2 linked regions of the Mus musculus genome follow. Each later gene encodes a partner of the first gene's protein in a complex. Links are inferred from orthologs where the notes say so. Each region holds a gene or a part of one and is shown on either strand. Other genes may lie near its edges.

The links. The genes of interacting proteins can lie anywhere in the genome.
Region 2: the proteins of Gnas (region 1) and Hrh1 are in contact, whole or in part, in a cryo-EM structure (PDB 9LRB), measured with the Homo sapiens proteins. The link is inferred for Mus musculus from reciprocal best matches to the Homo sapiens genes GNAS and HRH1. Residues at the interface, in NP_000507.1 of Homo sapiens: Gln35, Arg38, Ala39, His41, Lys216, Val217, Asn218, Phe376, Cys379, Arg380, Asp381, Ile383, Gln384, Arg385, His387, Leu388, Gln390, Tyr391, Glu392, Leu393, Leu394; in NP_000852.1 of Homo sapiens: Asp124, Arg125, Ser128, Val129, Gln130, Pro132, Leu133, Arg134, Leu136, Lys137, Arg139, Thr140, Ile213, Ala216, Val217, Gln219, His220, Cys221, His223, Lys412, Ala413, Gln416, Leu417, Cys471, Asn472.

Annotation. Positions count from the first base shown.
Region 1 is NC_000068.7:174,337,175-174,344,014, reverse strand, and holds part of Gnas (protein GNAS), read right to left. Parts: intron 6,395-6,840; exon of another isoform or gene 5,925-6,394; intron 2,366-5,924; coding exon of another isoform or gene 2,363-2,365; coding exon 2,308-2,362; intron 2,206-2,307; coding exon 2,086-2,205; intron 816-2,085; coding exon 718-815; intron 1-717. UniProt on the Homo sapiens protein: Guanine nucleotide-binding proteins (G proteins) function as transducers in numerous signaling pathways controlled by G protein-coupled receptors (GPCRs).
Region 2 is NC_000072.6:114,394,925-114,402,335, reverse strand, and holds the start of Hrh1 (histamine H1 receptor), read right to left. Parts: upstream 4,401-7,411; 5' UTR 4,338-4,400; intron 4,251-4,337; exon of another isoform or gene 3,917-4,250; intron 1-3,916. UniProt on the Homo sapiens protein: G-protein-coupled receptor for histamine, a biogenic amine that functions as an immune modulator and a neurotransmitter.

The sequences.
Region 1 (6,840 bases):
AAAGTGGTGTGATCCCCAAAGAACCTGGCTAAATCACTGTTAATCAGTTAGGAAACTGACCCCAGCAATTCCCTACCGGGTAGCTGAGCCTCCTCATCTTGTATCTGTACTTAACTCCTGAATTGGATCCAAAATACAAATCACAAACAATTCCAGGATCTCCATTTGTTTTCTGTTTCTATAATTAGTGCTTCCAGCTTTTAGTACAAACTTTTGAGAAAAATCAGGAACTTTGCTGGAGGAGGTGTGGGGGCTGGGGCCTGTGGGGCTGCTTTTCAGTTCCTTGAAAGAATATATAACTGTGTGTATTAAGTCATGACATGCTATATATGTAGCAACAAGTCCCCATGGGAGAGTGAGCCTAGGAAAGGGTCACTGTCCCCCTCCCATCATGAAGCTGAAGTGCCTTATAAGGTACTGAACAATAAAAAGTCTGTGTATTTTATATGAGGAGGCCAGTATGTGTTTGCTACACTGTGTGCGCCCCTAAATGCTTAGAGTTCATATCCGTGAGTTATACCACTTTATTACAAGTAAGTATTTTGCCTTGCTCTAGCAGGTATTAATTGTTTATGTAAAACAGTATCAGTGGTCTATAAAGTGCAATTAAAAGCTTTATAAAACAAATGAACCAGACTGGAACTCTCTGACTACTGGTGGGTTTGTAGCTTCCTGGCTTCTGAGCTTCTGTTTTGCCATGGGGGGACAGCTACTTACTACTGGGCACAGTCAATCAGCTGGTACTCATTGGAGCGCTCGTAGCAGGCACGCACTCCCTCATCCTCCCACAGAGCCTTGGCATGCTCATAGAATTCCTGAAAGAGAACCCAGGAAAAACGTTGGCTGACAGACTGAGCTCAAACCAATCAGGGACCCCACCCCTGGAATTCTAAGGCCATCGCTCGCTATGTGAGTCCAAGTGTGAGCCCCCGGGTTAACCAGCGCTTGGAAAGAGCCTGCAGTTCTGTTAAACTCCCAGAAATCTATATAATGAATTAGCATGCTTTCATCTCTGGGGAGTGCTCACAGTCTTGGGTGGCTGCTTCTGTTAGTCTTGTGAGGGGTGGGAGCAAACCAAATGAGTAAACTCCCCCTAGAATTATGTGTACAGGAGGGATATGTACTACCCTGTGGGAGGGACATGGGCCAAGGTTAGAATATTGTCCAGATATCAGAGTAGCAGATGTCAATGACATCAGATGCATTGTGGGTAGGCTGCCATTTTGTCTCTGTGAATCATGGGAATCAGATGACTATAGAATCCATGCTGTGTTTCCCTGTTGGGAGGGTTGGTTTTTGTTGTTGCTGTTGCTGTTGTTCTTATTGTTTTAATCAACAGCTATTTTTTTTTTAATGTACCTGCCTGTACTAATTTTTCTCACAAGTTTGTAGCCAAAACCCATCTAAAAAACACAAACCCCACAAAAGCTTAAGAAGAGGCAGCAATGACTTCTTAACTTTAGACAAGTCTCTTCTTTTGGCTTTAAAAATCTTTGCTCCCCCCACGAAGGGTTAAAGTGTACATATGCTTGACGCAGGGCAGTTCTACCCTCTCTAAAAAAAGCTTTTAGAAAGCCAAGAGACCCTTGTCAAGAGGGTCAGGCTCCCGGCAAAGGGCTGATGAGAACAATTTTTTTCTTATAATGTTCCATTTTGTAATTTATGTTTAGATCTGAACATTGGAAGGTGCATATTTGTACTAGGCTGGATTAACTGGACAATTAGGACTTGTGTGCCATGTGTAACAAACATGTGGTTTTGTCTGTCCTCATGTGTATGAGGGGAATAATTGAGCTTGCCTTAGCTCAGGACCTCTCCTCCATAAAAAAAAACTCACTATCTGATAAATGGAGGACTAGGTTGAGGTCTAGAAAAGGTGATGGAACTTTGTTCATCCATTTTGGACAAAGCCCTAATCATGTCTTTATCATCCTTTAGTCTTAGGCATATGCCTGGAGTTAACTTATGCATTCACACGGCAGGTATGTGTCTGGTCACTCTGGCCTGATGCAAGTCTGGCCCTCGTGTTCCCACTGGGACTAAGGTGAGAGGGGCAGAGGAAACCAGGGTTAGGGTGGAGCTTACAGGTGGGAAGTCAAAGTTCGGCACGTTCATCACGCTCAGAATGTAGTCCACTCTGAACTGGTTCTCAGGGTTGGCCAGCTCCACAGGGGGCACCAGGTTGCTCATGGCGGCCACAATGGTCTGAAAACAGTTTAGCAAATTGGTCAGGCGTGGGGGTGGGGGGGGCAGCACCGTGGGGCGAGGGGCTTGCTAAAAGATAAGAGCAAGGAGCTAGACACATACTTCAATGGCCTCCTTCAGGTTGTTTTTGATGTCCTGCACTTTAGTGGCCTTCTCACTACAGTGGGATTGAAAGGAAAAAAAAAAGAAAATCATATTGCATCCTGCCCACCAGGGTGTTATCGTCATTGAGACACGTCAACTAAAAAGCATAGTATTCTGTTTTCCAAGGAATTGTGGGCTAGATCTATAGATTGAAGGCATCCAAATAAAAATAAATCATAATTTCCCAATCATGTCCTGAGGACAGGCCTGATAAGGCTGGGTTAGAGACATGGCATCGAGATCTTGATTAACTGGACCAGAAATTGCACCTGGTCTACTGTCCATTCCAACCACACCCTGCTGCTTCCTGCGTGGCTCTTGATTAGCACAGGGAGGGTTGTATGGAGGTAGGGTTAGTACATGCTGAACTTGGGATTCAGTAGTTTGTGAGACCCAGAGGTGACAAGTGTTTATTATTGATATTAGGGTTTTCCATTTCCATATTTGTAGATCTAATTATTTAAGTATCTATGCATCTGTCACCAGGGAGGGAAGATGTTGTTTGGGGTTCTGTGGCTCACAGCACTTTTGAACAGGCCCCCAGTTGTGGCTAGGAGTCCTGGGTCCCCACATTGTTGGTGGGCATTGGGTTCATGGATACTGGAGGAGGAGTTGGCTAGATGTTTGCTTATTTAAACCAGCCTCTGGGATAACTTCTGTGGCCTTTCTGGGATGATTTGTATGCAGTCAGAGTCAGCGATCCCACAGGTCACAGGTCACATCTTCTGGTTTTGGGGGTGGATGGTGTCCCCCCCAGAAGGAATGCTAATTTATGGAGGTTACAGTGGTTCAAAATGCTGTGTCTTTTAGGAGACAGCCTATATGCCAGGCACAGCCATAGAGAATCTCGAGCTTGTACTTAGGGGAGCAGCAAAGCCCCACTTCCCTGCTTGGAGCAGACTCCATTTTGTCTGAGCCTAATCTTCTGCATGGCCAATGGGGGATTAGAAGACCAGCATGCACTGCACCCTCAGGGTGAGGCCTGGTAGCACAGAACAGGGCATTGGAGAGGAACAGACCCTTTCTGATAAGGAAACTGAGGTAGAGGACTAGGTGGCAGTGACAGAGGTAGGGCAGAGGTGCTTTTACTGACATTAAATTGAAGTCACAAGATAGCGAAAGTTAAATCACGCCCCCTCCCCATGGAACAGGGTAGAAAATTAATTAGTAAAGTTGCAAGATGGGGACCAGAGGCTACTATAGCCAGGAGGGGTGGCAGGCAGGCCTCAGGTGGAGATCTGGGGGGCCATGTGCCTGACAGAGGTGTAGAGATCTTGGGGCATGTGGATACCTGCCAATAGGGTGGGGTTCTGGGGGGTCATGTGGATATCTGCCAATGGAGTGGGGGTCATGTGGATACCCACCAATGGGGTGGGGGTCTGGAGGATCATGTGGATATCTGCCAATGGAGTGGGGGTCTGGGGGTCATGTGGATACCCACCAATGGGGTGGGGGTCTGGAGGATCATGTGGATATCTGCCAATGGGGTGGAGGTCTGGGAGGCATGTGGATATCTGCCAATGGGGTGGGGTTCTGGGAGTCATGTGGATACCCACCAACGGGGTGAGGGCCTGGGGGTCATGTGGATATCTGCCAATGGGGTGGGGGTCTGAGGGATCATGTGGATATCTGCCAATGGGGTGGGGTCTGGGAGGCATGTAGATATCTGCTAATGGGGTGGGGTCTGGGAGGCATGTAGATCTCCTAATAGGGTAGGGGTCTGGGAGGCATGTGCATTCCTGCCAATGGGGTGGGGGTCTGGGGGTCATATGTATACCCACCAATGGGGTGGGAGTCCGTGAGGCCATGTGCATACCCACCAATAGGGTGGAGACTTGGGGGACATGGGGATACCTGCCAATAGAGTAGGGGTCTGGCATCATGTGGATACCCACCAAAGGGATGGGAATCTGGAGGTGCCCACCAATAGTGGTGATCTGGGGGTTTCTGGGGTACCCACCAAGAGTGGGGGTCTGGGGGTCATGTGCATGCCTGTAAGTTGGGTGGGGTTCTGGGGTCATGTGCATGCCTGCAAATTGGTTGGGGGTCTGAGGCCATGTGAGTGCCTGCCAATAGAGTGGGAATATGGGGGTCATGTTCATGCCCACCAATAGGACCACACCCAAAGAACCCATTCTTTCAACAAAGACTTATCATAGCTGATATTTGGGGCTTTCTTTCCATGCAGGCTTGTGTATTTTGGGAGGGGCCCTGTGTTCTGAATGATCTCACTATATATTTTTTATTGGTGTCCATCTCTTAGGTGAGGGCCTGCAAGGTTTAGAGGTTGGGGGTGTTCTCAACAGGAGGGAGGGGGCGAGAGCTCGGCTACCAGGATTTTGACATGGCCATGACAGTGGGAAAATCAGAGCCCAACCCCTGCAAGCTGCCTCTAGCTCCACACTGTAATTAGAGCAAGCCCACCACTCAGAACAGGAAAAGAAGGCAAGAGGAAACCCTGAGTCCCCATGGCCACTGCAGGCAGGAGGGGCTATCCTGGGGCTGGGGCAAGCACTCAGGATGTGGGATCTGTACACACCCAAAAGCTGCTTGGGGCCCACAGACTCTTAAAGCTCCAGGTACCACCCAGTGTTTTAGAGACACGGCGTGCCCACCCTCAGAGGGGCTGATTCTGTTACGGTGTGAGAGGGGCGGCGCACGTTGAAGCTCAGCTCTGAAGTTATGCATTTCTGAGTTGGTTTTAGACTCTGGGACTAGCTATAGATGTCGGAGTCTAGAAGCATGTGTTTGATGCCCCCAGTACTCTAATGGAGAGTTCAGAGGAGCCTCCCCTATCCTGCCTTGGGGCTAATCTACTCTGTTTTTAAAAAATGGCTTCCTGCCATTGGTACTGAGCCCCAGATGCCTGGTTTTAAGGCCCCATAACAAAAAGAAATGAGGCTAGCTGGGTATTAACTACCCCCGTCGACATACAGGTAGAAGGAAGCATTTCCCCAGGGAAGAGTCTCCATTCAGCTTGATATTTCGTTCTAAGTAGTAGTATGATAATTGGAAAGCTTCCAGTCTTAAAATACAGATATTCTGAGAACGTGTTCAGCATTCATCTACGTATGTGAATAGGTGTGGGAGTGTATCCAGTATAAAACAGCTAAAATAGAAAATCTAAAATCTAATTCGGGCGTGTAGTACTAAAACAAACCTCTTCATTGAAGAGATTACTATGTAGATGAAGCCATCTTGCTGGGGCCAGCAGGTTTATCCTCATTTGTAATACTGCTTAATGAATTTAACGTTGATTGTGAAATTCAGAGAAAATTCCTTAGATGTCTCTAAACTACTTAACAGAGGCAAGATGTGTGCCCGGTTTCGGGATTCTAACTGACTGGAAAGTTGGAGTGGGCGGTATCTATAGGATGATGCTCCCCTCCCCGCTCCCCCCCCCCAAAGTGTAAGGCAGATTAGTGGGGTTAGCATTTTGTTTAGTAGGTCCTGCCCCTCTCCTGTTAAGTGGTAAGGGAAGGCTATGTGATACCCATCCTCCTCCTCTCTACCCTATCTTTGTGCTTGTGGGGAAAAGACAGACAAAAGAGCAGACAGAAGACAGACGCAAGATACAGGGATTGCTGAAACATGCAGAGAGTTTTATTTATCAGGAGCGTTAATAGTTATTTTTACTTGTAGAGTCATAGGAAGAAAGACGTGCAGGTATTAGTAAGGTTGAAGGGGTTAGCACAGCACACAATATATAGGAGGCTCTCTCAGTAGGGGCTTGCCACACTTCTCGGATGCCAACTTTTGGTACAGTAGATTATCAATATATCGATGCCTTTTCTGATTGCTGTTCTACTATGCTGTTGCCAATTAAAGACTTCATCCCATCTTTCTGTTTTTAACTTACGCCTAAAGGTTAGGTTAGGGACCCCTCCCCCCTCCCCCACCCCCCCCCATCCCCAGGAAAACAGAATAGTATTCTTATTAGTAGTTTCCTAAGACCGGGCAATTCCAGCATGCAAATTGGGATAACTGGGGTAGGACATAGCGAAGATGGAGGACTGTAGCCATCATCTAGTGGGGGTAATAGACTCTAAAAGAAACAGATGAACAAACATGTGTCAGTCACTTTGTCCCCGACCCCCAGATCCTTTGACCCGCCCGTGCCCGGTCTCAGAAGTCATTCCTCGTCCATGTTCTAGGCTGGAAGCTGCTCTATGGATTGACATGAGAAACAGCCCCTGCATCCTGCATGCTAGTGAGCGCGAATGGAGCTGCATGGATGTCTGGCATGCGTGTGCGTATGTGTGTGGGCATGAGATGGTTGTGGGGATGAGAAAGCAAAATAATAAACAATGATAATGAGTGGGGTGCCGTCACAAATGCTCTTGTTCGCTGGGTAACGTAAAGTGCCTTGCATTAACAGTTAAATTTTTTTTTAAATAATTTCTAAGGCCAGAGGTTGTCAACGGCCTGCTGCCTAAGGGCTGCAGCATTAGGCATATTTTTTTTTAATTGAGGAAATAAGTTAAGATTATT
Region 2 (7,411 bases), on another chromosome or scaffold:
TGGAAATCAGAGTAAACTCTAAACTCAGTAAACTCTGGTCTTCCACCAGGGGCAGTGATCTGGGGAGACCTAGGTAGCCTTGGATGGAAGGTCTAGAAAGCCCTGAATCACAGCAAGGTATCAACATGGGAGGAGCAGGGATTCCTGTAGGAAGCAACTCAATGACAGCAACCCACCCAGAGACCCATCGAAGGCAGAAGCAGGGATGCTGGGGACCCTGTTGCCTAGCATCCCTCTGTTGTTTGACTCCACCGCTGCCAGCCACAGCACAGAAGGACCTGAGGTTCCATCTCACACTGCTTTTAGACTCTGGTGTGTATTTATCTTGTTTGTAGAAATCGCTACAAGCATCCACACTGTTCCATCACTCCTTTTGAACCTTAGTTTCCTCCCCTGAAAGTAAGAACAGGTATTCCTGCCTCCCTGTTAGGAGGAAACAAATACTAAAACACTCTTGTAGAGTGTTGTCTAAATACAGGGCATTCTTCTGGCTTGTACTATTGCTTCTTTGTAGACTGTGGGTAAGAGAATAACATTCTATTTCTTAGGCTGGACAACAGTATCCTTCCACTATCTGTCTCTCTCTCCAAAGGCATCACTGAGTCCTTTACTCTGGTCATAACATTTCATCAATTAGTTCTCACAGCAAACCCTAGGGGAGGTGTGTGCTATCCGGCTCCATTCTACAGAAGAAAAAGCCAAGGCTCAGTTCTCCATTAGGCATCCATAACTGCCTTTCGTAAGAAAGACACCGTCCCTGCTCTACAGAGTCATCCTCTAGTTGGAAACCCATCCAAACCTCACAGATGAACTGGCAGACCCCCACATCCAAACTCAACTCCAGTTGACGCCAGTGGCTACACTTTCAACTCATCTCTGGAGTTGCCTTCATCTTCCTCTCCCACTCCATCCTCTTTAACGACACAGTGGTTGCTAGCACATTCTTCTAGCTGAAACAAGGTGCAAGGGCCCTTGCCATGAAAGCAAGTGAGAGCTGTTAGCTTCTTCGGTCCATGTGATCCTCCTGCAGGATCATTGGAGAATTACTAAGGGATTGATGAATGCACACAAAAGGCGAGGCACCCCACTCCCTACCCCACCCTGAGCAGCATCAGGAGCATTGTCTCCTAAGAGTGTGTGGCTGAGTCCTCTGCCACCATTAATGGCAGAAGTGAGTCACTTATAAGTAAGATACAGAAGCTTTGTTATAATTACATCCCGAGACTCAGCAATGCTCCGCATCACTGTGAAAGAGAGGGCAGCGGGTGACTGGGGCTTGAATGATCCTCTGCCAGGTACGGCTTTCAGATAAAGCGTCTTGGATCAGGAGCAGTTACAGCTAATGCCCAGCCTGAATGCTAATGAGAGTTATTTACAATTGCATGTAATTCTTTGCCATTTATACGCTCCAGCCGCTCCCCCCACTCTTCCCGTCCTTTCTTTGCCTGTCTATCTGAGTTAATCTTGAGAAACAGACACTGGTAAGGATGATTCATGGCCATTTCACAGATGAGGATACTGGAGTCCACGGTTATTCAGGTCTCAGGGACGAAAATGAGTTTCGACCTTCAGTATGCTTCCCTGGGAGGGAGAGCCTGCAGAACTCTTTATGCTTTCTCCTTGCTCGGAAGGCATGTGGTATCCCCACAGCCAGCCGCACGCACCCAGAGGCAGTGGCTGGTGTCCTCTGTTGGGACAGCTGTGGCCAGATCTTGTGAAATAGACCAATAGACCTCACACATGCCCTTTAACCCTGTGACTGTCAACTCGTGCCTCTTCCTTGGAGAACCCAAGCAATGACCACACAGTTCAAGTCCAGGCTGAGAGACAGGAAACAACTTCTCGGCCCTCCAATCCAAGACTCCCCAAGTCCACCCCAGCCTGACCACATCCGTTTAGAAAACATGTGTTTGAATACCGCCCCGGATCCATACCACACAGGAGCACAGAACTGAGCCTGCCAGGAGAAGGAGACAGGTCTGGGTGGCAGTGAGAATGACAGCAATGTCTGGAGCGTCCCCGGGGCCTGGCCCTGAGGTGGCTGGCTGAGGAGTCCTCTACCTGTTAGAATTAGAGGCTACAAGAAGGACCTTTTTACCATATACAACATCTAACTAGATCTGCCCCATTTTTACAGCTGAGAAAGCCATGAGGCTTGGGGCTAGAGATGTAGCTCAGTGGCCGAGTATTTGTCTAGCACGAACAAGGCTCCCCAGGTGGATTCCCAGCATCACAGAACAAAACCAACACAGCAAGGGGTGCACAATGTCCAGGAGCTCAGAGGCTTGCCTCGCTGGGTCTGTCAGTGTCACAGTGACAACTGCTGCTACTACTTTGGTGAATTACAAGGTATCTTTGCAGTGCTGTATCAATGTGGCATGGTTAATTCCTCCACCCCCGCGCAGGGAAGAAGGAACCATGAACATCTCCAATCAAAACATGGGGAAACAGATATATGTCAACGGCGCATAAGAGACAGCATGATGACCGGACCCAGAAATGTACCTTCAACCTCTCCGCCATGCCTTGGTACTGAGGAAAAGCCACGGTGCCTCTGCCAGGCGTTCCTTGACTATAGAAAGGAGTGTAGGCAGGAGAGTTCACTCACAAATGCCTCCCCACAACCCTCAGCTCAGGGCTGGGGACCCCGTGCAGGCCACGACTGCCCAGTGTTGGGGGAGGGGTGCTAGGATCGTGGCAGGCAGCACGGCTCTGAAATCATAAATGGGGAATACCCAGGTTTTGCGGGTCTTTGACATATTTCAAAACAGCATCAGTCAAACCCTGTCTTCCACCAGGAGCAACGTTCTGGGGGCAGCTAGGTGGCCCTGATGGAAGGTCCAGCAAGTCCTGAGATACAGCAGGGTATCAACATGGGCGGAGCAGGGATTCCTAGAAAGCTACTCAATGACAGCAACCCACCCAGAGCCCCATCGGAGGCAGAAGCAGGGATGCTGCGGACCCTGTTGCCTAGCATCCCTCTATTGTTTGTCTCCACCGCTGCCAGCCACAGCACAGAAGGACCTGAGGTTCCATCCGCCTCTTGAGTCTCACTGATAATTTAAGATACAGGCAAGATTGGTTGGTACTCAATCCACTCCACCACGGACCAGCTGGGCAACTCTAAGCAATCTATTGAACCTCTCTGAGTGTCCACCTATCGCTCAATAACGGTACCTTGCATGGCTGCTGTATAAACTATGTTAATCCATAACCATCTCATAACCATGGGGGGGGGGGCTCTTTCTCTGTCTCCAAGGATTGCCGGTGGCCTTCAGGCCCCCAAGAGTGTCGGATCTCCACCTACTCTCTCCTTTTTGTTCCAGTAACACACTTCACCCCTGGTTCAGGGTCCTGCCCTTCCTCCTCCCCACCCCCCACCCCCCAATAACAGAACGCGCTCTCAGAGCAGTCAGCCTGGGGATCTTCCAGTTCCCTCAGCTCCATTCCGTCTGGAGGTGGGAGCCCCCTGTCGGAGGAGAGCCACCCTGCCTGGAGCAACCCTGTGTCTCCATCGCCCAGGCTAGCAAGCGCCTCAAAGGTGGCTTCTGTAAAGATCAGTTGTGCTCTGATTCAAGACTCTAACTTTCAGAGCAACACGGCGTAAATTGCAGAATTTGGTATCCCCTAACGCTCTCTGGGAAAAGGCAGCCCTCAAGGATCTTCTCTGCCATCAGAACACACCCTGGCCACAGTATCAAGTCTTCTGGCTCGGCCAGGAAACGACGATAAAGCCGGCTAGGAAAGGAGGGAGCGCTGGCTCAGACGCTTCTCATACCCAGACACCTGGTTTGGGTTCCACCTAGCTAAGAAGCTTGGATTCATCCAATTCAGTCTCAAGGCTGTTCTCTAAGAGACAACTTTCCCTCCCCAAGCCTCAGTTTCCTCCTCTGTAAAGTGGGTATACTAGTAGTACCTGGGTCCCGGAGATTCAGAAGGATTTGAGATAGTGGATGTCCGGAGCTTGGCACGGAGATCGCACCTCAACCCAGAGTCTGCGTCCACGGTTAGCATCAAAGCCAAACCCTGAGGAATCTCGGGGAGCCGTTGAGGAGGCCCCCTGGCCCAGAAATCGGAGGCGGACTCTAACCGGTGAGCCCGGCCCCAGCTCCGGGAAGCCACAGGTGTTTGTGCTTACGGGCATAGCAGCCACAGCTCCGATACCCTGCCCAGGCCGCTAGAGCATCCGGCGCGCCCACCTCGTGCGGCCACCTGCGGGATGTCCCCACCGCCCTGCGGGGGCGCGGAACTCAGAGCTGGGCGTGCGCGCATCCTTGCCCTCCTCCCGCCGCCCGCCACCGGGTTCCCGCCCCTGCCCGCGCTGCGCTCCGACTCACCCGCGCCAGCTCCGGGGAAAGTTTGGCGGCGGCGGCCAGACTGCTCGGTGCGGTGGCGGAGGCGGCCGCGGGGGTGGCGGGAGCACGCGGAGGCGGCCTCGGGGGAGGAGCCGCTGAGAGGCCCGCCCACCAGCAGCCCCAGGGCACCCTCCCCCGCCCATCTTCTACCGCCGCGCCCCGCATCTGTGGCGGAGCCCTGAGCTTGGCAAGAAGCCAAGGATGGATCGGAAGCCTGGCGACAGCCCTCCGACACTGCCACCGCATGCTAACCCGGGGACACGCAGAGCCACAGACCAGACCTCAGATAAGGAGGAGCTGACAGGATTCTTCGCAAATTCAACCGCAGGTGGACCAAGGGACTAGTTGGGTTTTTGTTTTGTTTTGTTTTGTTTTGTTTGGGTTTTGTTTTGGTTTTTTGTTTTTTAAATTAGTGACACTGATTGATCCGGATCACCAAGACTCGGGAGGTTTAGAACCGCACAACCACTGTTTCTCTAGATCCTGAAGAATGAATGCGCTCTCGCCCTCTCCCTCCCTCTTTCCCTCCTTCCCTCCTGTCCTCATCCTGCAAGTGCTATGCTGAAACTCAGGGCCTTGCGCTGAGCTATCCCGACCTTGTTCAACTCTCACTGTACCATTACACTTAGGAACCTGTGCCGGCTAAGAGGAGAAGGCGAGAGTGTGTTTTTGTGTGTGTGTGTGTGTGTGTGTGTGTGTGTGTGTGTGTGTTGGGGAAACTTAAGGAACTGTTTTTTTGTTTTTTGGGTTTTGTTTTTCTGAGCTAGGAGAGGGCGTTTCTCCTTCTTTGCTAGGGAAAACCCTTTTAACATTCAATTGTGGCTTCAGATGGCAACAGTCAGGGAAGGGAGAACAACTGAGGAAGGGAAGTGGCTCCTCTTTGCTATGACACCGTGCCCCCTAGAAGGGGCTCATCCTCCCGCAGTGGTATGTAGTTGTGGGAATGCAGGCCCAGCCCTGTGTGGCTCAGTTCCAGACTTGTATGGATGTCTTAGTCCCCTCCTCGTAGCCCTGATTTAAATCTCAAACTACACCAGAAAAAAGAAGCAGTCATCAGCCCTATTTATAGATGATGGGCAGGTTTTGTAGCTTCTACCATGTCCTCACCGAGAACTGCACTTCTAGCCTACCCAGCCCAAGTCCAAAGGCCAAAGTTTTTAACACAGAGGGGCGGAGGACAAGTTAATGATGTCTTTTACACAAAGGGCTTACTTGGTAAGCACCTCGATATAGCCCTTGACCTTGAGCCTGTCTGTGCCTGCCTGGAAGGTGGGACTCCAGACTCATTTGAAATGCCCTTAGGAACCCAGGCAACAGGTGGCTGAATTCAGGTCAGCTGGCAGACCTGGGTGCCAACCCTGCCAGACCCTGACCCTCTTTGACCTGTACCTCCAGAGACCAAGGAGCCCAGGAATCCACAGCACGTTCTACTTCCAGTTGCTACTCTAGGGCCTCCATATTTACACTTTGTGGGACTAATGCACTGTTTGGAACTGAAGGAGTGACCAGGATCGCACCTGTTATAAACTGTAAGGCAAGATATTTCCTCTTCACAGCTGTGGAGTTTACAGGAGTTGGGGCGTATGGCAGAGAGCCTTGGAAATCATCTCTCTTCTTCCTGAAAGTCAGCAGCGCCCGATAACTTGGAATTCTGCTTGAGAAGGTTTCACTTCCTAAGGCCTATTATGGTCTTGTTCTACCCATGGGATTTTTAGAAAAATCAGCATTTTAGAAACAGTGTATCAGGCATTATTTGAAGCTTCTGTTGTTTTTTGGGTTTTGTGTTTTGTTTATTTTGTTGTCATTTTGTGACTGACAGAGCATAGGGTAACCTGGGCCATGTCTAGCTGAAGTCAGCCAACTACCAAGAGGTAGGTAGCAAGTGAAAAAACAAGGCTAGTCCTCTTGTCCTCCTGTCCTCCTGTCCTTCCATCCAGTGGAGGCTCTTCCCTGAGAGGAGTCAACTTGCCTGCTTCTCAGAGCAGCTCAAAGGGAGGCTCTGTCTTCATCTGGTTTGCAAATGAGAAAACTGAGTGTTCTTGATTGGCCAAGCCTGAGTCACATGCTGATGGCTGGTCTAGTCAACTGCTCTTCAGACACTTAAGATTAAAAGAGGGCAAGAGATGGCTCCCCAGATTCAGGTGTGATGAGCAGAATGTGGCATTGGATCTGGGGATTGCAGGAGTCCCCTCTCTCCAGAACTGTTTTTGGGATTGGGTCAGTGTGTGTGTGTGTGTGTGTGTGTGTGTGTGTCTGTGTGTCTGTGTGTGTGTGTGTCTGTGTGTCTGTGTGTGTGTGTGTGGTGTGTGTCTGTGTGTGTGTCTGTGTGTGTCTGTGTGTGTGTGTGTGGTGTGTGTCTGTGTGTGTGTATCTGTGTGTGTGTTTGTGTGTGTATGTAGGTCAGGGCAGCCTTTGGCACTGGTAGGTGCTCAGTAACTGAGTGACCTCCCTTCCTTCCTCTTCTGGAAAACAGGAACTGTGGCTCACCAAACCCAGGCCAACTTCTCCCTATTCACATAGGGAAACTGAGGAAGATCCATAGAAGGGACTTGTCCAAGGTACCCCAACCTTGTCAGCCATAGAAACATGACTGACTGGGTACAAATCCCACTGGAAGCTGTCAGCTGTCAAGTTGCAGCTCCACCACCACCAACCCTCTCCCCCCCCCCCCACCCACACACACTGGTGAGGAGGGAGCTGACTGCCTTCATAGACGAGACTGGAAACTCACAAAGCCTTCCCAACCCAGAGGAAGTGAGTACCACTTATGTTGGGCTCTCAAGTCATGCCACAAGCTCTAGACAACGTAGTTCTGGGCAGAGTGCCCAATCAGCTCCCACCCATTAGAGCTTACGTCAGCCAGTTCCTCAGGGGACAGCACGCTCTGGGTGCTGAGAGACCCCCAAAGCTGTTCTTATGAAACTGCCCAGATTAGACAAGATGGCTCTTTGCTTGACTGTTCCTCTGCTTGGTTTGAGAGAGCAAAGTGCATGTTACAGGACCAGAGTGGGGAGAGAGCAGGCTGTCCTTCAGTCATCAATGTCAGCCTTCCAGTA